4 linked regions of the Saccharomyces cerevisiae S288C genome follow. The protein of the gene in region 2 interacts with the protein of the main gene of each other region in a pairwise test. Each region holds a gene or a part of one and is shown on either strand. Other genes may lie near its edges.

Region 1 (5,296 bases), on a different chromosome or scaffold from region 2:
ATAGACATAGTCTAAGCGAGTTTAACCTTTGAAATATAAAAAAAAACAAAAGGAAAAAAGTAGTATGTGGGCTGCACTAAACTAAAACCGTGAGGTATTTAGATATATATTCTACATTGTTTTACGTTATAGCATGTATAAACATACAAATACATACTGTGAGATGATTGTGGTATGACACAGTGTGTAATAGAGGAAGTGAAGAATGCCAAGAGCAGTTTTTTATCTATTTTCTGCGAATTTTCTTATGTCGGAAGTTATTCTCGGATAATATGCGGCTGCGCTAAAAATAGTTTATCGCATGCGTAAATCAGGGACCAATTCATAATGCTATAATGGACGTCGCAGTGCAGGAACTACTTGATTTTTTTTTTTTTTTTTAATTTTTTTCTTTCTATAGCTAGTCACACAGCCATTACCACCCAAAATTAAACTGTTTTATGTATGTTTAGTCACCAAATTATCAAAAGAGCATGATTTTTCTCCTGAGTATTTCAAAGTGAAATTTGAAATCTTACCAAGCCCTCAATATAAACCAATATTTCAAGAAAGCTAGAGACATTGCAAATATTTTGCTCATTCAAACATATAGCTAAGGCAAAGGGATACTAAAACTCAGCAACTTGATGAAAGTTCGAAAATAACTGACAGTGTATCTATAAAAGTTTCACTGTGGGAATGCAGTGTCCATCCAGTATTCAGCACAGGTTTTCCTAAGCCTTCTGTACATCCCTTCATTTAACAGTAAATGTGGAAAACAAGAAGGGTAATTGTGAAAGAGTCCGATTGTAGTTGATGAACAGTAAAATCACTTATTATTTAAGGATTCCGCTGCGGTATGCGTTTTCTACTGATGTGTGGAGCAAGCCACGCCATGTGATTAACCTTGCTTGATAAAAACACCAACCCATCGTTCAGAATATGCATGGAATACAGCATCTCTAGGAGGAGAAAGACAATAAGTTTAGCGCATATGGTAGGATGATAGCACACTGATTTCTGTCAACCAGTGAGAAATAGGGAAAAAGAAAATGGTTGTAATGGTAAAAAGTAGTCTCGTTTTGGTTATTCGCAGCTGACAAACTACAAAATATATAAATTGAAAAAGTTGTATTTATCTTTACGCTAAGGACTCCTCACTGCAGGATAATTGCGCTTCTTTAATATATGGCCATAGTTCCACATTCAATGATAGAGCCCGCATAGATTTCTTTGCAGAGAGAACGCGGTAGAAGAAGTGGCTAAAAAACCATTCACAGTCAATCCCGTCAAAGAAAAACTCTTCATTCTTCCAGACTTTTTTCTCAAACAAGTACCTATTCATTTTTTTTGCAATTTCGTCCCATCCATTCGCACCACTTTCTTGCTCATTTATAATAGTCGACAAGAACTGCATCTTGTGTTCCATTTTCACGGATAAAACGATCATCCTCATGTTTTGGAAACCTTGTACCAACATGAAAAGAATCCACCCGAGATAAAAGGTGCGTAATAGAAGGCACATTCCCCGTGACACATATATGCAGCACAAAAAATTAAGGAATGGTATCAACATAAAAATATTGGAAATCCTCTTTAAAAACCAAGTAAGCTTAAATCGGTAAGCTTCTTTGGGAAGTTTAGCATCTTCCAGGCCAACAGGGCTCCATGATTTCTCAGAATTAAACAACTTCCATTGTTTTTCAACTTCTCTAAAATAAACTCCCAATGCTTCTTCAATGTAAGGGACGGAATCCTTAAATGACTTAACCTTGGCAGCTTCGTCTTTTTTCAAAGAAAATGGTTCGAGAAGGGTTGTTCTGAACGCTTCTTGACAGACCATGGCATTGAAGAAAAAGTACTTAGTATTCCAAGCCTTATTTTCATATAAGTACGAATTTAGATTTGCTGCAACAACTTCCCAATCATGAGGATCAGAACTTGGTGTGTTTTCAGTAACCTCTTTGCAAAACTGAATGAGTTGTTTCGATAAGGAACGCTTACGAGAAAGTCCACAAATAACAAGGACAAATATTGGTCCCAGAAACAGGACCAGAAGTGAAACTATAAGTGGGTAAATACAATTGTTGGAAAGTTTCCACCAGACGCTAAGTGGTAGCCATAATAGCATCCAGATGCGAAACGCTAAGGACTTGTAAATTTCATAACAAAACCAGGTAAAGCTGCTTCTGAAAAGATCTTGAGGTAGAACAATCTTTTGGGATTCGAGCTGTTTGAAGGATAATACATCTACACTCTTCTCATTTTTAAGTTCATTCTCTTTCATTTTCGGTAGTGAGATGGCAGTTCGAGGGGTTTTTTATTCGAGATAGTAACTTCTGGCTTTTCGCTTTTATACAGCACAGCAGAAAAAAAAAGCCGCCGAGGCGCGCGCGTTCATGCAATGGCTCAGTAACCTCGTGATAGAAAAAGGGAAACAATATTGGGCTATTTTAGGCAAAGAAACTCAGCTATTCGAAAAGGGCATCCATTTCATTTCCGGTTTTCTATCTAGCCAACTCGATAATCGTAATAACGAATTTACAAAACTTTAATGCGGGTACATCACGGTGTGCCGTAACGTTGGTTTACATTTAAGGTGCGACCAGCAATGTCACTGCTCGTACAGCGGTTACCGCTTGAATGAAATACATATTTTAAGCGTAGATTTCCTGTGACAAAACTGTGTAAACATCTAGTAGAAAATAGACGTAGCTGTCACAAATATTTACACAGGAAGAGTCTGTCCTACGTATCTGACATGAAGATTCATAGAACCAAGTTACTTCCCAATGTGGACAACCTTTCGATACCATGTCAATAGCTTCCCCTTATGTTCGGTGTCACTGTAAAACGGATCAAAGCAAAACCTAGAGGTACGGTGGTACTCAGATTATGCATGACCTCTGGGTAATTAGCACTTCTCCCGCTTGTTTTGAGATTCTGTATATAAATATTGCAAACAAAAGGATAGAGCGCGGATGGCAGCCCTTACAGTAAAAATTATTCGTTTTAATCATGCGTCAGTGTGAGATTCTATGACAATAGTATGAGAAGATGGGGTGAAGTAAAAGCGTCTGTATGACTATAGAGTACAGTTATATTACAATATATGGAATAGAGCATAGTGGTATGACGTATTAAGGAACATTTAAGTTAATGACGTCATGGTGGTATTGATACGCAATTGAGTGTGTTTATGTATTATGGTTGAAGAATAGAATATTTTTATGTTTAGGTGATTTTAGTGGTGATTTTTTTGTAATATTGGCATAAGTGTATATAAATTGAGTGGTTAGTATACGGTGTAAAAGTGGTGTAACGTATGTATTAAGAGCAGTTATACAATATTTGGGGCCGCCGAATGAGATATAGATATTAAAATGTGGATAATCGTGGGAGTTATGGGTAAATGGCACAGGGTATAGACCGCTGAGGCAAGTGCCGTGCATAATGATGTGGGTGCATTTGGTACTGATTTAGTGAGAGATGGGCCATGGAGTGGAGTGGAATGTTATGGCAGGGTAAGTTGAGATGGTATATACTGTAGCATCCGTGTACGTATGACCGATCAGAATACAAGTGAAGGTGAGTATGGCATGTGGTAGTGGGATTAGAGTGGTAGGGTAAGTATATGTGTATTATTTACGATTATTTGTTAACGTTTCAATATGGAGGGTAGAACAACAGTATAGTGAGTAGCAGATGGTCGATGGTAGGGTAATGGTAGTAGAGTTGGATTTGGGTAATTGGAGGGTAACGGTTATGATGGGCGGTGGATGGTAGTAGTAAGTAGAGTGATGGATGGTGGTTGGGAGTGGTATGGTTGAGTGGGGCAGGGTAACGAGTGGGGAGGTAGGGTAATGGAGGGTAAGTTGAGAGACACGTTCATCAGGGTTAGAATAGGGTAGGGTTAGGGTTGTGATGGGTGTGGGTGTGGGTGTGTGGGTGTGGGTGTGGTGTGGGTGTGTGGGTGTGGTGTGTGGGTGTGGGTGTGGGTATATATATGTCACTGTATTGCATGCTGGATGGTGTTAGACAAGGCCGTAGGGACATATAGCATCTAGGAAGTAACCTTGTACGAAAATAGGCAATATTTCCTGTTTAGGCGATTGTGACGCAGATTTTAGTCCAACGATCTAGCGTCAAGGAATTTTTTTATAGTGGGACATTGCACCAAGGAAGTAACTTGATACGTCGTGGGTGAATGGGTCTGTTTTCTTATTCGGCGGGGTAATACATTTTTGGGGGAAGTTTGTCTGTCTGACGCGCCATATGTAGGTACGCCAAAAAGGGCTCCTCTACTTCGAAGCGCGAGGTCGTATACCTAATAAGGAAATGTAATTTATAACTTTCTATTATATTGGTCTTTTCGAGAGCGGAAGAAGTTGTAGGCTAAGCGCAGGCTAAGCGTAGGTCCATATTTAAAGTATCCAAGAGAATATCCACGAAGCGGCTGAGCAACGAACAGAATCCTGGTTCTCCTCGACTAAGCAGATAGTTAAGATACTGTGCACCATGGAAATTGAAAACGAACGTACGTACCGACTACTTTATTTTTGCAGGCCGGAAATCAAGCGATGAATGAGACATCCTTCTGCTTTCTATGTTGTGCTTGAAGGGGACAGACAGTCGCTTATCTTAGTGAGATTTCTTACTAACTGAATTTACTTTGCTGCTGCTAGAGATTTGCACCTGCATAGCGCAGATTCTGCATCTTCTCAATAGCTTAATTATTACATTCTTAGATGATGATAAGACGGAAACTGGACAATCTTTTGTTTATATTGATGGATTTCTTGTCAAAAAGCATAACAATCAACATACTATTGTTAATTTCGAAACTTACAAAAATAAAATGAAAGTTTCCGATAGGCGTAAGTTTGAAAAAGCAAACTTTGACGAGTTTGAGTCGGCTCTAAATAACAAAAACGACTTGGTACATTGTCCCTCAATAACTTTATTTGAATCGATCCCCACGGAAGTGCGGTCATTCTACGAAGACGAAAAGTCTGGTCTAATCAAAGTGGTAAAATTCAGAACTGGTGCAATGGATAGGAAAAGGTCTTTTGAAAAAATTGTCGTTTCCGTCATGGTCGGGAAAAATGTACAAAAGTTCCTGACGTTTGTTGAAGACGAACCAGATTTCCAGGGCGGACCAATCCCTTCAAAGTATCTTATTCCCAAGAAAATCAACTTGATGGTCTACACGTTGTTTCAAGTGCATACTTTGAAATTCAATAGAAAGGATTACGATACCCTTTCTCTTTTTTACCTCAACAGAGGATACTATAATGAGTTGAGTTTCCGTGTCCTG
Region 2 (7,676 bases):
TCTAGTAAGTAATTATTCTGTTCACTTCTATCCAACGAAATGGGCGTACGATTGAAATAACAGTTGATTGAAATTATAGGGGCCCTATTCGCCTTCTACAAAGCACAAGGAAAGGAACATTTACAATGAATAATACGAAACAGCTGGCAAATGTGCTGAAAACCATTGAGCGATGTTACCACGCTGAGATCCATGTTTTCAAGAGTGGGCTGTACTATAATGAACCAATGTGTTCTTTAAAATTGTTAGTGTGTTTTCCCAACATGAAATTGCTACTGGAAGAAATTGATATTGTAATAATATATGTGAGTATCTAATCACACACTGGCTGCATCACATTGATTCATGTTATGTTTTTGAAATTAATGTATTCGTTGTGCATGGATGTTACACATATCCTAAACCTAAATTATGAGTACAAACACACCTAGGTAGAGAGCTCTACGTCGTCTTAGTTCTCAGCTTGTAAGCTTTAATTTACGCGAAAAGCTATTTACAATTTTTTATTTGAAAATTGATCGCATAACTTAATGAAAGTGTACAAAGTAGGATAGGCATTCTTTGGTACCGATTTTCTGAATTGTCACCAGCAAAGCCTCATTTATTTGAAATCATGAAACTTGTTAACGATTAAATCTAGCATGGCGATACTCGGAAAGTCCATAAAGAACTTCTGGCAAGAGCCGAAATTCACGGTAATTTTAATTGAGCACCACTATAGCAGTGTCTTTATTGAGTTGGCTAACACTAAGGTCGTATTCAGTACTTCTGAATTTCCAGATAATATAATAGACGCTCATACTAAGAAAATATTCACTATAAGAACCTTTCACAAATACTAACCTAGAATATTTATCTTTCTATTTGAGTAAGAATGGAAAATAAAAAAGTGTTAATAAGGTATAACAGAGTGTATTTTCAACCGTAAAGAAATGAATAAGAATAAACGCGATTTAAGCTTAATAGAAAGTACATAAGCAACGTCGCGAACCGGTAATGGAAAAAATAATTGTTTTATCGCTTTTCTTCAGAGGGTTTTTGTAATCGATATTTGGGTGGAAAATTCTGGGGCCCTACGAAATGACGAACTAAAAGCCAAGAGTTCTAAAACCCTTCAGTGTAGTGCTTTTTGAAAAGCCAGTTTTGTTATGAGCAACAAATACATGTGAGCTTAGAAAGATAGATTGAGCTTACCTGAATCAATGTGAATCGAAAATTTCCTCCGTCCTACAAGTATATATTGGAGGAAGATAAAACCAAGATTGATGCACTGCGTTTTGTAAATAGGTTCTGGGATTACCAACGTACTTCTTGATAAAATGGGCTATTTTTAAACGCTTTACTTTTTTTCTTCAGCGGAACCCGGTGGTTTTTATGATCTTTATACTTAATTGATGATTACAGTTTTGGAATCAAAAGCTTTATTCGGAATATTGTGCAAATATATTGTTGTTTTTATTGGATAATGGTGTCTAGATTTAACCAAGATATTAGATTTATTTCGCTTATAGCATCATTTTTTTTTTGATCAAAATTTTCAACTCTTTGAAAGTGCCATATTTCACAAAATATAACATTTGTCCCACGATTTAGAAAAATACCATAATCACTCTTCAACAATTTTATTTCTTTACTCTCCTACTACAGTTGCGTACATTTTAACTACACGTTTAAAATATTCAAGATTTATGAGACTGTCATCGAATGGTATATAAAATAAAAAAAAATTATATCTTAGAGTCCTAGTTTAATAGAAAGAATAAAAAAGGTCACGGAACATCACTTTCTAACATATCTTCCTGGGTTTCATCTTTACTAGAACTGACGGTCAAAGGTCTTTGGAGAGTACTCGCTTTTTTGATGAAAATCACGATAGTTAATTTTTCCGCCATGTTGTAACTTTCTCAAAACTGCAATTTCAGGGTGTCCAATTTACTGTCAATATGCAACCAAAAATATAACAAAGTCCTTTTGAGCAAATAAAGTCGGACATGACAGTACAACGCATGATCGATTATTAAACGAAAATGGGATATCATACTGTTTTAGAAGTTATTGGGTGCATTACTCTGTCATAAAAAAATCATGTTACTATCTATAAAAAATGCCTAAAAAATTGGATTACCACTTGTTATGGAAAGATCAGTAAAATATAGGATAACCATAGCGTAAGTCTGGCGTTCTGGAATATTTGTTTTTTAGTTATTAAACATACTTTTCACGATTCACAGTATTAATTTTTAGGAATGATAAAAAATGGTACATGCCCCTATTGGGAACGTGATGATCTTTCGGAATGTGCTAGGCGAGAATATATCGAGTTTAAATTTCCTCTATTTATATTGTTGACTGGTATGATATACGCGTTTTGCAAAGTCTTTCGAGCCTTTTATCTAAGGGGGAAAAATCATACAAATGAAGCGCCAGAATTTGAAGAACAAGGTAATGGAAACCACGAATATGCAAGGTTCTCAGTTTTAAGACTAAAATCTGCATGGGAAAGCCGTAGCTTTTGTAATGTTAATAATAGATCTACTTTCGACAAATTCAAAAAATTTATAGAGGGTGCCTTCATTGTTTTGCAGCTTACTATCCACCTGTATATTTTATCTAGTATGCCAATGGATAACAAAAAGTTCTTTCACCAAGGTTTTCTGGTTCAAATGTTTCTCTGGATTTTACTGCTTGTTGTTATTACACTTCGTTTAATTTCAGCAAGCCAGTCATTTCGGTGGGTTTTAGCATGTAAGCGTGATTTATGGGCTGTTTCGTTTTACTCATATGCATCCCTGTTTACTCTTTCGATTTTACCTCTTCGTTCCGTCTTCATTGGAAAGATAAAAGATAAAATTATGGTCAAATATATCATTTCCGAGACTTTCATTGATTTAGCGCTTTTATTATTATTATCAACGTCAAGTATAGAAGGAACTAGGTACTCATTTTTGGTTGAAAATGAGAACAAAAAGTTGCCACCGGCTCCTACCGTCTTTGGCCTTCTTACTTTTTCTAGGATTGATCGGCTTATTTGGAAAGCATACAAACACTGCCTTGGAAACGCTGATATTTGGGATTTGGATATTAATAATAAGTCTATAGCAATTTTGGCGAACTTTGAAATGTCTTCTAAAAAAGGAAGGCTCCTTCCAAACATTATTTGTTATTTTAAGGCTGTTTTCATCTCCCAATTATTTCTGGCTTTTGTATCTAGTTTTTTGAACTTTGTACCCTCATTGTTGATGCCAAGAATACTATCATACGTTAATGACCCAAAGTCAAAATCATGGAACTTGGTGTCTTTATACGTCTCATCTATGCTCGTCAGTAAAATCATTGCCACGACTTGTAGAGGTCAAGGATTGTTTTTAGGTGAAAAGGGTACTATGCAACTAAGAACAGTTTTGATATCCAATATCTATTCCAAAACCTTAAGAAGAACAATTCTAAAAGACTCAACAACGTCACTTCAAAAAAATGCGTCAACATCCTTTGAAGAAAATCCTGACTCTTCTGAAGCGGAACCTAGAAAAAAGTCTAGTAGGAAAGACAACTCTGTGAACAATGTTATGTCAATTGACGCTTTCAAGGTTTCTGAAGCTATGAACACTTTTTATCTGGCATGTGAAGCAGTTTTCATGACAGTTACGGCCCTAATGATACTATATTCCCTACTGGGATGGTCCGCCTTTGCTGGTACCTTTGCTCTTCTTGCCATGATTCCTTTGAATTTTTGGTGTGCAACTTTTTACGGGAACTATCAGGCCGATCAATTAATCCTAACTGACAAGCGTACCTCTGGGATTAGTGAGGCTCTGAACTCAATACGTGTAATAAAGCTACTGGCATGGGAAAATCTGTTTTATCAAAAGATTATAAACGTAAGAGATGGGGAAATAAGACTCCTTAAAAAGAAGGCAACAATTTTCTTTTTGAACCATCTCATTTGGTTCTTTGGGCCCACTTTGGTCTCTGCAATAACATTCTCAGTGTTTATTAAATTCCAAAATCAGACACTTACTCCTACAATAGCATTTACAGCTCTTTCTTTATTTGCAATATTGAGGACACCCATGGACCAAATTGCTTCGACTGTCAGCCTTTTGATACAGTCTTTTATTTCTCTTGAAAGAATCCAGGATTATCTTAATGAATCAGAAACAAGAAAATATGAGATTTTGGAACAAAGCAATACTAAATTTGGCTTTGAAGATGCAAGCATGGAATGGGAAGCTGCTGAAACAAGTTTTAAACTTAAGAACATTTCTATTGATTTTAAGCTGAATAGTCTCAACGCAATTATAGGTCCGACTGGGTCAGGAAAGTCTTCGCTATTACTTGGACTATTGGGAGAATTGAACCTTCTTTCTGGAAAAATATACGTACCTACAGTTGAATCCCGCGACGACTTAGAGATTGGTAAAGACGGAATGACGAATTCAATGGCATATTGTTCTCAAACTCCGTGGTTGATTAGTGGAACAATTAAAGATAACGTTGTTTTTGGAGAAATCTTCAACAAACAAAAATTTGATGATGTAATGAAATCCTGTTGTCTTGACAAAGATATCAAAGCAATGACAGCTGGCATAAGAACAGACGTGGGTGATGGAGGATTTTCCTTATCTGGCGGACAGCAGCAAAGGATTGCTTTAGCCAGAGCAATTTACTCCTCTTCCAGGTATTTGATCCTTGATGATTGCTTGAGTGCAGTAGATCCTGAAACTGCACTTTATATATATGAAGAGTGTTTATGCGGCCCCATGATGAAAGGAAGGACCTGCATCATTACGAGTCATAATATTTCTTTAGTTACGAAACGGGCTGACTGGCTTGTGATTTTAGATCGTGGCGAGGTGAAATCACAGGGTAAACCATCGGACCTCATTAAATCTAATGAGTTTTTGAGGGAAAGCATAAACAATGATTCAAAAAATACAACTCACAATCAAATTGACTTGAAAAGATCAACAACATCAAAGAAAACTAAGAATGGAGATCCCGAGGGAGGGAACTCGCAAGACGAAGTGTGTGCTGAAGTTGAAAATTTTGAGGAAACAAAAATGGAAGGATCAGTTAAATTTTCAGCTTACAAATGGTTAGCAGACTATTTCGGGGGACTGGGAGTTGTTTTTGTTTTCACCTCGTCCTCCATCCTTATTCATGGAATCACACTGTCTCAGGGCTTTTGGCTCAGATACTGGCTGGACACTGGATCTTCAGGGAGTAAGTCTACCTGGCTTTATAGAATAGTTGAGGGTCACTCTAACATCTATTTCTTACTGACTTATATTATCATAGGTCTTGTTTCTTCATTTTTAACTTCTGGTAAAGTTTGGATAGCAATAATTTCAGGTACCAACGTCACCAAGAAAATATTTGCGAAGCTTCTATCCAGTATCTTATATGCCAAGTTACGTTTTCATAATGTCACGCCGACTGGAAGAATAATGAACAGATTTAGCAAGGATATGGATATTATTGATCAACAATTGATCCCTAATTTCGAAGGACTCTCTTATAGCGTCGTTGTTTGTCTGTGGATTATACTTTTAATTGGATATGTTACTCCTCAATTTCTGTTATTTGCTATTCCTTTATGCGCTCTTTATTATACCGTATGTACGTTATATCTTCGTGCATCTAGAGAGTTGAAGAGAATAGATAACATCAATATCTCTCCAATACACCAGTTATTCGCTGAAGCCATCAAAGGAGTAACTACAATTAGAGCATTAGCAGATGAGCGTAGGTTTATCACTCAATCTTTGGTTGCAATTGACAGAAGTAATGCTCCATTTTTTTATCTCAATATGGCCACCGAGTGGATCACATATAGAGTGGATATAATTGGGACACTTGTTCTTTTTAGTTCTTCTGTAATGATCATAATGAAGGCCTCATAGTTGGATGCGGGGCTAGCGGGGATACTGTTATCGAATGCCTTTTCCTTTACTGAAACTGCTCAATGGATCATAAAAGTATTTTCAAGCGTTGAACTTTTGATGAGTTCAGTAGAGAGAATAAAAGAATATACAGATATACCTTCCGAATCAAACGGCTACATATCACCTCCAGCTAATTGGCCTCAAACAGGAGATGTTGAACTAAAAAACTTATCATTGCGCTATTCTCCTCATTCCTCTAAGGCACTAGATAATGTATCATTCAAGGTAAAAGCAGGAACAAAAGTTGGTATTGTTGGTAGAACAGGGGCTGGGAAATCTTCTATTATAGCGGCTATTTACCGGCTTTCAGACTGGGAAAACGGTACGATTACTATTGATAACAAAGACATAAAACATATCCCTTTAGAGCGTTTAAGAAATTCTATAAGCTGCATCCCACAGGATCCTACTTTATTTGATGGAACTGTTCGATCTAATTTAGATCCTTTCGATCGGTATTCTGATGTACAAATTTATGGCGTACTATCCAAAGTGGGATTAATTGAAGAATGCGATGAATTGTGCTTGATTTTTGAGCAAGAGCAGCCTAATTTTTCTAGTCATAAACTAAGAAATAGATTCATTGATTTGAATACTGTTGTGAAATCAGGTGGTTCAAACTTATCTCAAGGGCAAAGACAACTTTTGTGCTTGGCACGATCCATGCTTGGTGCACGTAATATAATGCTAATTGACGAAGCAACCGCCTCAATAGATTATATTTCTGATGCTAAAATTCAGAAAACTATAAGAGAAACAATGAAAAATACAACAATTTTGACTATTGCTCATCGATTAAGGTCAGTAATAGATTATGACAAAATTCTGGTGATGGAAATGGGCAGAGTCAAGGAGTATGATCATCCATACACTCTAATATCTGATCGAAATACCATTTTTTACCGCCTCTGTAGGCAGAGTGGCGAGTTCGAAAACCTTTTCGAGTTGGCTAAAGTCTCATTCGATAATAAAAGATAAGACAACTAGAATTTCCTATTTTTATTCATTCCAGTTCTAGCTACGAAGTATACGATCTGCTTACGTCATATATTTGTGTGTAATTAGAAGGCATTCAGGAAGTCGCTTTTAACTTTTCAGGGCTATATGTCCTAATCCACTACTTTTTTTGAGAACTTTAAGAAATAACTCCTTTGAACCTGTCTGTGCCAAACAAAATTTTGCTGGTACATTTTATGGTATATAAACAAGCTACGTTATTATTACTTTTTTTTGATAGTTTTACTTATACTAGAAAATAATATTATATCATCACAAAAGAAACTCTCTCGTTAAGAATCCCGAATATTCAGCAGGAGCAAAAAAAAAATACCATAATTTAAATGCTTATTCAGTACTTAGCTGCTGATTTTATCGCAAGTATACTATTGGAGAGTACCGTGGTTCATATCGTGCTATTTTTATCTATATTTAAATTTATAGAAGTTTATCGTAGTATACTATGTAATTCTCTGCCGTATTGGCGGCAAAGACAAAAGCACTGACAGTAAACAGTTTTTCTGATGAGAATTTATGTCGAGGAACAAACGAAAATTTTGCTGGCCAAATTTGCTTACGCCTTTAATGTGATTGCGGTTGAGGTCTGTTATTACGCAGCTGCTATCATGTGTCTATTTGAGATTCTCTTTACAGGTTATCGCTGCATTTTTGTCAAGAAAAGAAAAGAAGACAACCTTTTTCTTGCACTGCGATGAGTATATTCAGGCTCGCGAA
Region 3 (5,354 bases), on a different chromosome or scaffold from region 2:
AAGCGTCTTTAGTCGAGGCTCCGATGAACCGTTCTTGTTGTATCGTCGACGTATACGTTGCGCTGTAGCTCTGGATAACGGTAAGCGTATCACCGTAAGCTCGTCAATTATTTTTGAGAGCCGCGGTCATTTTGTTAGTATCTCTTCTCAACTTGGGCAGCACACATGCAAAACATCACCCAATCGGTCCTTTTTGTTCATCATATCGTTACATATCTGTGAAAAGTACTTTATCTCAGTGGGTTTACGTGGGCATAGATCACGCTTCAGCCGCTCTGTGTCGACTTTCTTTTCGCCAGGTAAACTTGCTTGGTATGCAGAAAAAATCGATAGCTCATCTACGTGTAGTAACAAAAACATGTGGGGTGCCAAATTGTACCCATATTTCCTTATGGTGCTTTTCTGAAGACTCCTTACAATAGGTGCGCCAGAAACAAAGTCAGTGAAAGTACGCATCGTAGAGCTGTCGTTCGGCCTGGCACTCGCTATTTCGTGACAACGTTCCAGGACACGGAAACTCAACTCATTATAGTATCCTCTGTTGAGGTAAAAAAGAGAAAGGGTATCGTAATCCTTTCTATTGAATTTCAAAGTATGCACTTGAAACAACGTGTAGACCATCAAGTTGATTTTCTTGGGAATAAGATACTTTGAAGGGATTGGTCCGCCCTGGAAATCTGGTTCGTCTTCAACAAACGTCAGGAACTTTTGTACATTTTTCCCGACCATGACGGAAACGACAATTTTTTCAAAAGACCTTTTCCTATCCATTGCACCAGTTCTGAATTTTACCACTTTGATTAGGCCAGACTTTTCGTCTTCGTAGAATGACCGCACTTCCGTGGGGATCGATTCAAATAAAGTTATTGAGGGACAATGTACCAAGTCGTTTTTGTTATTTAGAGCCGACTCAAACTCGTCAAAGTTTGCTTTTTCAAACTTACGCCTATCGGAAACTTTCATTTTATTTTTGTAAGTTTCGAAATTAACAATAGTATGTTGATTGTTATGCTTTTTGACAAGAAATCCATCAATATAAACAAAAGATTGTCCAGTTTCCGTCTTATCATCATCTAAGAATGTAATAATTAAGCTACTCTATTGAGAAGAAGCAGAATCTGCGCTATGCAGGTGCAAATCTCCAGCAGCAGCAAAGAAAATTCAGTTAATAAGAAATCTCACTAAGATAAGCGACTGTCTGTCCCAACATAGAAAACAGAAGGATGTCTCATTCATCGCTTGATTTCCGGCCTGCAAAAATAAAGCAGTCGGTACGTGCTTTCGTTTTCAATTTCCATGGTGCACAGTATCTTAACCGTCTGCTTAGTCGAGGAGAACCAGGATTCTGTTCGTTGCTCAGCCGCTTCGTGGATAAATTTTATTACCCCGCTGAGGTAGAGGAGCCCTTTTTGGCGTACCAAGTCACTTCCTAATGCTCCATGTCCCACCCACCATGTTGAAACGTTGACAAATGATCGTAAATAATACACACGTACTTACCCACACACACCACATGCCACACTCACTTGCACTTGTATACTGGTACGGCATACGCACACGGATGCTACAGTATATACCACTCTCAACTTACCCTACTTTCACATTCTACTCCACTCCATGACCCATCTCTCACTAAATCAGTACTAAATGCACCCACATCATTATGCACGGCACTTGCCTCAGCGGTCTATACCCTGTGCCATTTACCCATAACGCCCACGATTATCCACATTTTAATATCTATATCTCATTCGGCGGCCCCAAATATTGTATAACTGCTCTTAATACATACGTTATACCTCTTTTTCACCGTATACTAACCACTCAATTTATATACACTTATGCCAATATTACAAAAAAATCACCACTAAAATCACCTAAACATAAAAATATTCTATCCTTCAACCATAGTACATAAACACACTCAATTGCGTATCAATACCACCATGACGTCATTAACTTAAATGTTCCTTAATACCGTCATACCACTATGCTCTATTCCATATATTGTAATATAACTGTACTCTATAGTCATACAGACGCTTTTACTTCACCCTATCTTCTCATACTATTGTCATAGAATCTCACACTGACGCATGATTAAAACGAATAATTTTTACTATAAGGCCTCCCATCCGTGCTCTACCCTTTTGTTTGCAATATTTATACAGAATCTCAAAGCAAGCGGGAGAAGTGGTGATTACCCAGATGTCATGCATGATCTGAGCACCACCGTACCTCTAGGTTTTGCCTTGATCAATTTTACAGTGACACCAAGCATAAGGATAAAAAATGGTATTGAAAGGTTGTCCACATTTGTAAGTAACTTGGTTCTATGAATCTTCATGTCAGATACGTAGGACGGACTCTTTCCTGTGTAAATATTTGTGACAGCTACGTCTATTTTCTACTAGATGTTTACACAGTTTTGTCACAGGAAATCTACGCTTAAAATATGTATTTCATTCAAGCGGTAACCGCTGTACGAGCAGTGACATTGCTGGTCGCACCTTAAATGTAAACCAAAGTTACGGCACACCGTGATGCACCCGCATTAAAGTTTTGTAAATTCGTTATTACGATTATCGAGTTGGCTAGATAGAAAACCGGAAATGAAATGGATGCCCTTTTCGAATAGCTGAGTTTCTTTGCCTAAAATAGCCCAATATTGTTTCCCTTTTTCTATCACGAGGTTACTGAGCCATTGCATGAACGCGCGCGCCTCGGCGGCTTTTTTTTTCTGCTGTGCTGTATAAAAGCGAAAAGTCAGAAGTTACTATTTCGAATAAAAAACCCCTCGAACTGCCATCTCACTACCGAAAATGAAAGAGAATGAAGTCAAAGATGAGAAAAGCGTAGATGTGTTATCCTTCAAACAGCTCGAATTCCAAAAGACCGTTCTACCTCAAGATGTTTTCCGAAACGAATTGACCTGGTTTTGTTATGAAATTTACAAGTCTTTAGCGTTTCGCATCTGGATGCTGTTATGGCTACCACTTAGCGTCTGGTGGAAACTTTCCAGCAATTGGATTCACCCACTTATAGTTTCACTTCTTGTCCTGTTCCTGGGACCATTTTTTGTCCTTGTTATTTGTGGACTTTCTCGTAAGCGTTCCTTATCGAAACAACTCATTCAGTTTTGCAAAGAGATTACTGAAGACACACCAAGTTCGGATCCTCATGATTGGGAAGTCGTTGCAGCAAATCTAAATTCGTACTTCTATGAAAATAAGACTTGGAATACCAAGTACTTTTTTTTCAATGCCATGAGCTGCCAAAAAGCGTTTAAAACAACCCTTCTCGAACCCTTCTCTTTAAAAAAAGACGAATCTGCAAAGGTTAAGTCATTTAAGGATTCCGTTCCTTATATCGAAGAGGCCTTGCAAGTGTATGCTGCAGGATTTGACAAAGAGTGGAAGCTGTTTAATACTGAGAAGGAAGAGAGTCCTTTCGACCTGGAAGACATTCAGCTCCCCAAAGAAGCTTACCGATTTAAGCTTACCTGGATTCTTAAAAGGATTTTCAACCTGCGGTGTTTACCACTCTTCCTTTATTATTTTTTAATTGTCTACACGTCTGGAAATGCTGACCTTATATCACGTTTCTTGTTTCCGGTAGTAATGTTTTTTATCATGACGAGAGATTTCCAAAATATGAGGATGATTGTTTTATCCGTGAAAATGGAACACAAGATGCAGTTCTTGTCAACTATTATAAATGAGCAAGAAAGTGGTGCGAATGGATGGGACGAAATTGCAAAGAAAATGAATAGGTATTTGTTTGAGAAAAAAGTCTGGAATAATGAAGAGTTTTTCTACGATGGACTTGACTGCGAATGGTTTTTTAGGCGCTTTTTCTATCGTCTCTTATCTTTAAAAAAACCTATGTGGTTTGCTTCGTTGAACGTTGAGCTATGGCCATACATTAAAGAAGCGCAATCGGCCCGCAATGAGAAGCCCCTAAAGTAGGAACAAATGTTCCTTTTCCAAAATATACTATGTGTAGTTGATCGAATATCAGTAAGTCAAAACGTATTTTACTTGTTTATTATTATTAATACTCCTTTTCGCATATGTTTTATCACTTTACACCATACAATAACCACTAAATTCAAAAACACTTATTTTCAATATTTGTTATAGAAAAATAACCACTAAAATCACCTAAATATAAAAATATTCTACCCTTTAGCAATAAGACTGAAACACTTTACTTGGGGTAAGAATACTGCCATGGTGTCATTAACATGAAAGTTCAATAATGTTTTCATACTAATCAATATGTACACAGGCTTCACATTAGAACATCATATATTAAAGCGGTAACTTAAAATCCAGATAATACATTTTTGGTCATATAAGTGCTTTTTTTTTGTAGGATATAATCGCAAATGATATCACTACACTATGACATATTGTTGACGTAGTAAATTACGATTTAGCTTATATGTCATAATGTAGTAAGTTTATATATGTTATGTAAATGTAAGAATTACATAGGTACTGTTTTTGTACACAGAAGCTATAATTTCTCAAGTACTACCGGATTAGAGGTTTGCTACAATACGTTTTCCACTATATGTTTTCTATGTGTGAAACATTACTGAAACATTACTCATATTACGCTTTTGTGTTATCACATTAAACATATACATGGTAACAAATATTACTATCACTTATCTTGCTTCATCTTATGTACCATACAAAAATTACTGCGCATATCAGAGATCATTTTTTCGAACACATATCCTGTTGGGGTTTTGTAAATCTTTCTTATGACCTGCCTAAGGCCTTTGCAAAACGTTTCGCGATCCAGTCATTGATAGGATCATCTTCCTTGGTTTGGACATATTCTCTGTCAGGTAACTTTTGGGCAAAATCTTCAGTCAACCGAGGATCTCTTACGCAGAATGTTAGAAGGAACATAGGCGCTGAAAATACAAGCGCAACAATAACTTCGTATTTTTGAACGTGTCTGTAAGCTTCAACCATCGCAGACCTAACTGGAGTACCCCAGGGATTGGAAAGAATAAAAGTTAGTGGTGAGCCATATGCTGCTGTAGCCAGGTCAGCGTCTCCCATGTAGTGCAATAATTTAGGGTACAATGACTGCGTCCATATGGCACCGGAAATGGCAGCTGCAACTGCTCCACCTATTCTGAAAACTGTATAGTTTAATGCTGTGACAGTAGCCATATTCTCATGGGATGTTACCGACTGAATAGAAACAATTGTAGGATAATCGAATAAACAACTACTGAGACCCCAAATAACCATACCAGCAATTATACCTCCATCGGCGTCTTGACCTGACCTGTAGCGGTAAAATAGTCCCATAGTAATGAAATAAAGTGA
Region 4 (4,947 bases), on a different chromosome or scaffold from region 2:
GGATTTTCGAAAAGATCTTTCGCAGCAGATGATTCATCACCACTTAAGTGGATACCAAAATGGTCATGAAATTTGAAGAGATATTTCAATGCATTGAAGTGTTTTTCATAACCTACCCCAGACTTTGCATGTTTAACCATGTTATTATGTGTTTCGCAGGTTTGGATAAATTTGTCTAATTTATCTGTCCCATCAATGGAGCTAGAAATAAACAATTGACATAGTTCCAACAGCGCTTGACTTTGAATGTTAATAAAAGATGATCTCGAGTTTTTGAAACCACGTGTGGATACTGGTTCTAATCCAAACACCATTCTTCCATACAAAGCATAGTGAGCTATTTGTAAAGCTACTTGAACCATCGAATCGGGCTTGACTCCTAATCTTTGAGCTGACCTTCTGCCCAATGGAATAGAAGCGCGAACAATATCATACTTGGAAATCAGATCAGCTAGTTTGGTTTCTGACAAATGGACATGTGTGTTCAGGATGTTACTGAAAGACCAATCGATTTTATTTACAACCAACTTAGGGTCAATTTCAGAAGGGCCTCCGCCGTCGGCACTTATGGTCGCCGTCATCAGTTTTTTAGTTTCAGGATCCATTTGTGTCACGTTAGGCCAGAGTGAAAACTGTGGGTCACCGGCGTTAACGTCTCTAGCTAATCTCAAGACTGATTCTGTATAAATTTCAGAAGTAAACCGAAGCACGACTGACCCGTCACATGTGAAGGAATCCCAAATCACTGTGGCTTTTGCATCTGCAGTGACAACTAACTGTAATTTATCATACCAACGAGAAACACATGAACCCACTTGATGGCCTTTGCTATTTATTATAGAAGTACCGTAAAACACTCTCTTACAATTGGCGGAAGTACATTTCTTGTCTCGCTCAGTGATAGTCCTGTTAAACATTTGACTGATATCAGCGGTATCATCGCCATCATTGGTAGTTTCTTCTTGTGATTCGTCCAGCACTAACACGAACAGAGCAGAGTCTATGCGATGTAATTCATTAGGATACCTTTTCTGTAGTCTCTTCCTTGCATATTTCCAGTTTCTAAAAGAGTGAGAGGTCAAACTACCTAACGCAGTTGATTTTTCAATGCCAGAAGAATCTTTTATTATATGGTTGAAAATTGTGGTTAATTCTGCAGCAGTGTATATAATTTTATTCGTCGAATCAAGTACTTCCAGTGTATAGTATTGGCCCCTGGAGATGATCAAGATGTGTTTGCTATCCGGATGTCTTTTTATAGTTATACCATTGCCAGTGAATATGTCTTCTTCGTGTTTTCTTTTACGGTCATCAAAGTCTTTTTGGGTGGGTTCGTCGTTATCGTCCTCATCGCTTGAATAATCAGGGTCTTCTAAATCAGATGCTGTGTAAGGTTTGTTCAAATCAAAATTTTCAACCTCACCGCGCTGAAAAACAGGACTACGAGTAGTACCGAACAAGTTCAGAAATGGAGCCATTGACAGTGGTTTGCCATTGGTGGCATTGATATCTGGTGGCAACAAATCTTGTTTCAAAGCAGAAATAAACCTGGCCGCAGAGTGCACTAGGACGGCTGACCTATCAGCTTGAGTGATGTTTGGCAAAGCGTCATCTGCGAGAACCAAGAAGGGATTCCTGGGTAGGACATCGTCCTGAATCTCCCTAGTGGAGGTCTGGTTATTGATGTCTAAGTGTAATTCATCAAGGTAGCAATCCCTAGTGTCATGGTAGCTCTGTAGTTTAGATTGCAGCTTCTCACTTACGGGATTCTCTTCAAAATCTCTTATTATGGATGACAGCTTCTCAATTTGTTCTGGATCTAAAGGATGTTGATAGTAACCATCAGCATAATACAATGGCTCTAAACTCTCCTTCAGACGCTGCAAAGTGTCACAGAGTTTAGGTAATGGTAACTTGGGTAGTTCTTCCTCATGCTTAAATGTTCGCCCCGACTTGTCAGACGAAACAATAGTACTGCCGCTTGACATGGTTGCTTAGTTTTATTTTAATTTTGATTTTTGATTTTCATTTCAAATGAATCAATTGCTCTTACTCATTACAAACACATTTATATAATTTTTTTCTTTTATACGCTCCAATTAGTGTCATTATTATGGGGTAGTCATTCATCGTGATGATTCATTATCGGACCGACGGGAAAATGACGAAAAAATGCAAGGTCAGTAATAAAAAAATAATATACGGCTACAAAGCGAACATACATACATTTCACGCAAAGCAATCTATTTCTTCTTTTGGCCTAATTGTGACGCAACACGGGCTGCCTCTTCAACACCATTGATAATACCGCTCTTGACGCCCTTTTCTTCCATTACGCACAACCCGGCAATAGTTGTACCACCTGGTGTGCAAACTTGATGCTTTAAAACGGATGGATGAGCACCGCTTTTCTCAACCATCTTCACTGTTCCTTCTAGAACTTTCATGGCACACTCCTTACTCTCTTGTAATGGGATTCCCAATTTCAACCCACTCTCCATCAAGGATTCTAACATCAAGAGAACAAAAGCGGGGCCTGAACCGACTAAAGCCGTAGCAGCATCCATGTTCTTTTCTGGAAGCTCAACGTATTTACCAACTTGGCTAATCAATTCGTTGACCAGTGGCTTTTGCTCTTTGGAAACATCAGCTGAGTAGGACACCACCGCACAACCATATCCGTACTTGGCAGGTGTGTTCGTCATAACACGGCAAACAGTGCTAGTGTATTGACTCAATTGGTCAATTGTCCAGCCAGCAGCCAGGGAAATAAGTAGCTTTCCCCCAATGACGCTCTTCACACCATTCAACACTTCTTCGGCCAAAAATGGCTTGGTACCAAGAAGAACTACAGAAGCTTCTTCGACAGCGCTCACGTTGTGACCGTAAGTGCTTTCGACTTTAATACCGTTAGGAGATTCGTCGAATGTCTCAACTAGATCGGTAACTTGTTGTGCACTAGGTTCATCATGGTTACATGTGATAATTTTGGAAGGGTAAAATGCAGCAGCAGTTTCATCAGCCGCCTTTGGAGCATTATAAATGGCGGAAAGAAGTGCTTGGCCCATAACACCGCAGCCTAAAATTGCCAATGTGTAAGTCATATCTGTAGTTGGTTTGTTTGCTATTGGTGTTGTGTTACTTCTATTGTTGTTACACCGTTCTTAACCTGGCAATGTTATTAAATCCTTCATATTCTTGTTTTCGAAGATAAGATCTTGTCCTTTTGTACGTATGCGACTTTATATAGTAATAAATGGCATTCTATGGCAATGTATGTAGGTTTAAGGAGTGACTCAGGATATTACACCTTCTTTTGCTGGATGTACTCAGCGACAATAAAATGTAGGAAGTCCTCTACTTCTTTAAAATCAGAAAATGTTGTGTCAAAGGACACTGCGTTGGCTTCCGTACCAGCTGAAAACTTGATGTGAATGAGTGCGTTACAATAGTTAGGACTTTCGAGCATTAAACTTAGATTAGGGCTTTTGTGCTCAGTTAATGGTAGATTTATTTTGAGTTCACGTCTAGGTATATTCAATAGTTTATCGAAGGCACGGATCTCTTTATTTAATTTAGTTATATTTTCATCATCAATGTTTTTATTTTCTTGAGGTTGTTCTCTCTCAACTTCCGTTTCTGTTATACTTGAGCCAGGAACTATATCGAGCACGTAATCCTTTATGATTTTTTTTAGTAACAGTTTGTAATTAGCAAACCGAACTTTACCAAGAATGGGACGTATTATTAAGATATCATCGTCAACATTCAAATTGATCAGTCCGTGGGGTGAGCTTATTCTCGATCGTAATGTTTTCTTGAATATAACGACTAATAATAGTCTCAACATAACAAGCATTAAATTTGCTCTCTTGTCGTTGATTTTTGGTAAGTCTTGTTCATGATTGACAATGGAGTCATCGTCAAGGGACAACAACTCGATTTCAAATTTTTCGTTAGGTAGTTCAATTATTACCTTGTTTTCGTTTTCAATACTGACACCATAGGAAATCAACAAAGCGCATTCTTTCTTTATTTGGTACATCAGTTCTTTTTCAAAAATGATCTTTTTCAAAAGTTGGATTTGCTTTCTGATATCTTTCGTTTCAGCTTCTTCACTTTCACTATCCCTATCCATCACACTTTCGCCACTCAATATGTAATCATCTTCTGATTCGATTTTTGTGAAGATACGAACCCTTAAGAATTTCTTTACTGAATGTACGAAATCAGTGCCTTTGAACACTGAACTACTGTGGGGTATCAAATCCAAATTTTGTGATTCTATATTATTCCTTATATTAGCAATACCTCTGTCATGCTTATAGGTAGATCCAGAGTCTTCGTAACCATACTTAATTGCCAACAGCTTTTGACCACTAGTCCTGTCCCTAATCTTAAAAATAACATCCTTGTTGCTAATACTCTGCATTATCTTATTCCAATAGTCATGTTCGTTCTGTAATATGGAACTCAGTTTATTAAAACTTGCGCGTAGGAGATCTTTAGATTCGTTTAAACTTTGTAACTTCCATCCCTTATTCAATATATCCAACTCGATATATTCTTTTTTTGTAGGTGCAACATATGGAATTTTATCACTGTTTAAACTAGAAGGTTTAACAACTTTCCTAAGAAATGGTGACATTGATGACATACCTGTAGACTCTTTAACACTCGACAGTAGCAAAGAAACGAATTCCAAAGCCAAAGACGATTCGTTCATGGCCAGATTTATATGCTCTAGCATATCCCTCCTTCTTTTAACAAACTGTTCCTGTGTCATTACCGTTTCAATATTATCATCGGTCTCGCCATTTTCATTCGTTTTGTGGTCTGTTTCATTTCGTGAATCCACTGGATTATCTTTATCTTCATAATCCACTTCCATGAAATCTTCTCCAATTTGTACATTCTCATCAGCGCCATCAGTGTCCTTCTTCTCGC

The links.
Region 1: the proteins of NFT1 (region 2) and COS1 interact in a protein complementation assay, tested with the Saccharomyces cerevisiae proteins (one large-scale study listed by BioGRID).
Region 3: the proteins of NFT1 (region 2) and COS8 interact in a protein complementation assay, tested with the Saccharomyces cerevisiae proteins (one large-scale study listed by BioGRID).
Region 4: the proteins of NFT1 (region 2) and PRO3 interact in a protein complementation assay, tested with the Saccharomyces cerevisiae proteins (one large-scale study listed by BioGRID).

What each region holds. Positions count from the first base shown.
Region 1 is NC_001146.8:5,300-10,595, reverse strand, and holds COS1 (Cos1p), read right to left. Parts: upstream 2,267-5,296; coding exon 1,121-2,266; downstream 1-1,120. Other genes in the region: YRF1-6 (Y' element ATP-dependent helicase protein 1 copy 6), read left to right, coding at 4,498-4,516, 4,665-5,296.
Region 2 is NC_001143.9:650,834-658,509, forward strand, and holds NFT1 (putative multidrug transporter NFT1), read left to right. Parts: upstream 1-2,246; coding exon 2,247-5,903; downstream 5,904-7,676. Other genes in the region: YKR104W (uncharacterized protein), read left to right, coding at 6,003-6,923.
Region 3 is NC_001140.6:3,579-8,932, forward strand, and holds COS8 (Cos8p), read left to right. Parts: upstream 1-2,822; coding exon 2,823-3,968; downstream 3,969-5,354. Other genes in the region: YHL049C (uncharacterized protein), read right to left, coding at 148-963; YHL048C-A (uncharacterized protein), read right to left, coding at 2,085-2,219; ARN2 (siderophore transporter), read right to left, coding at 4,773-5,354.
Region 4 is NC_001137.3:199,233-204,179, reverse strand, and holds PRO3 (pyrroline-5-carboxylate reductase), read right to left. Parts: upstream 3,105-4,947; coding exon 2,244-3,104; downstream 1-2,243. Other genes in the region: carnitine O-acetyltransferase YAT2, read right to left, coding at 1-1,988; SRB4 (Srb4p), read right to left, coding at 3,305-4,947.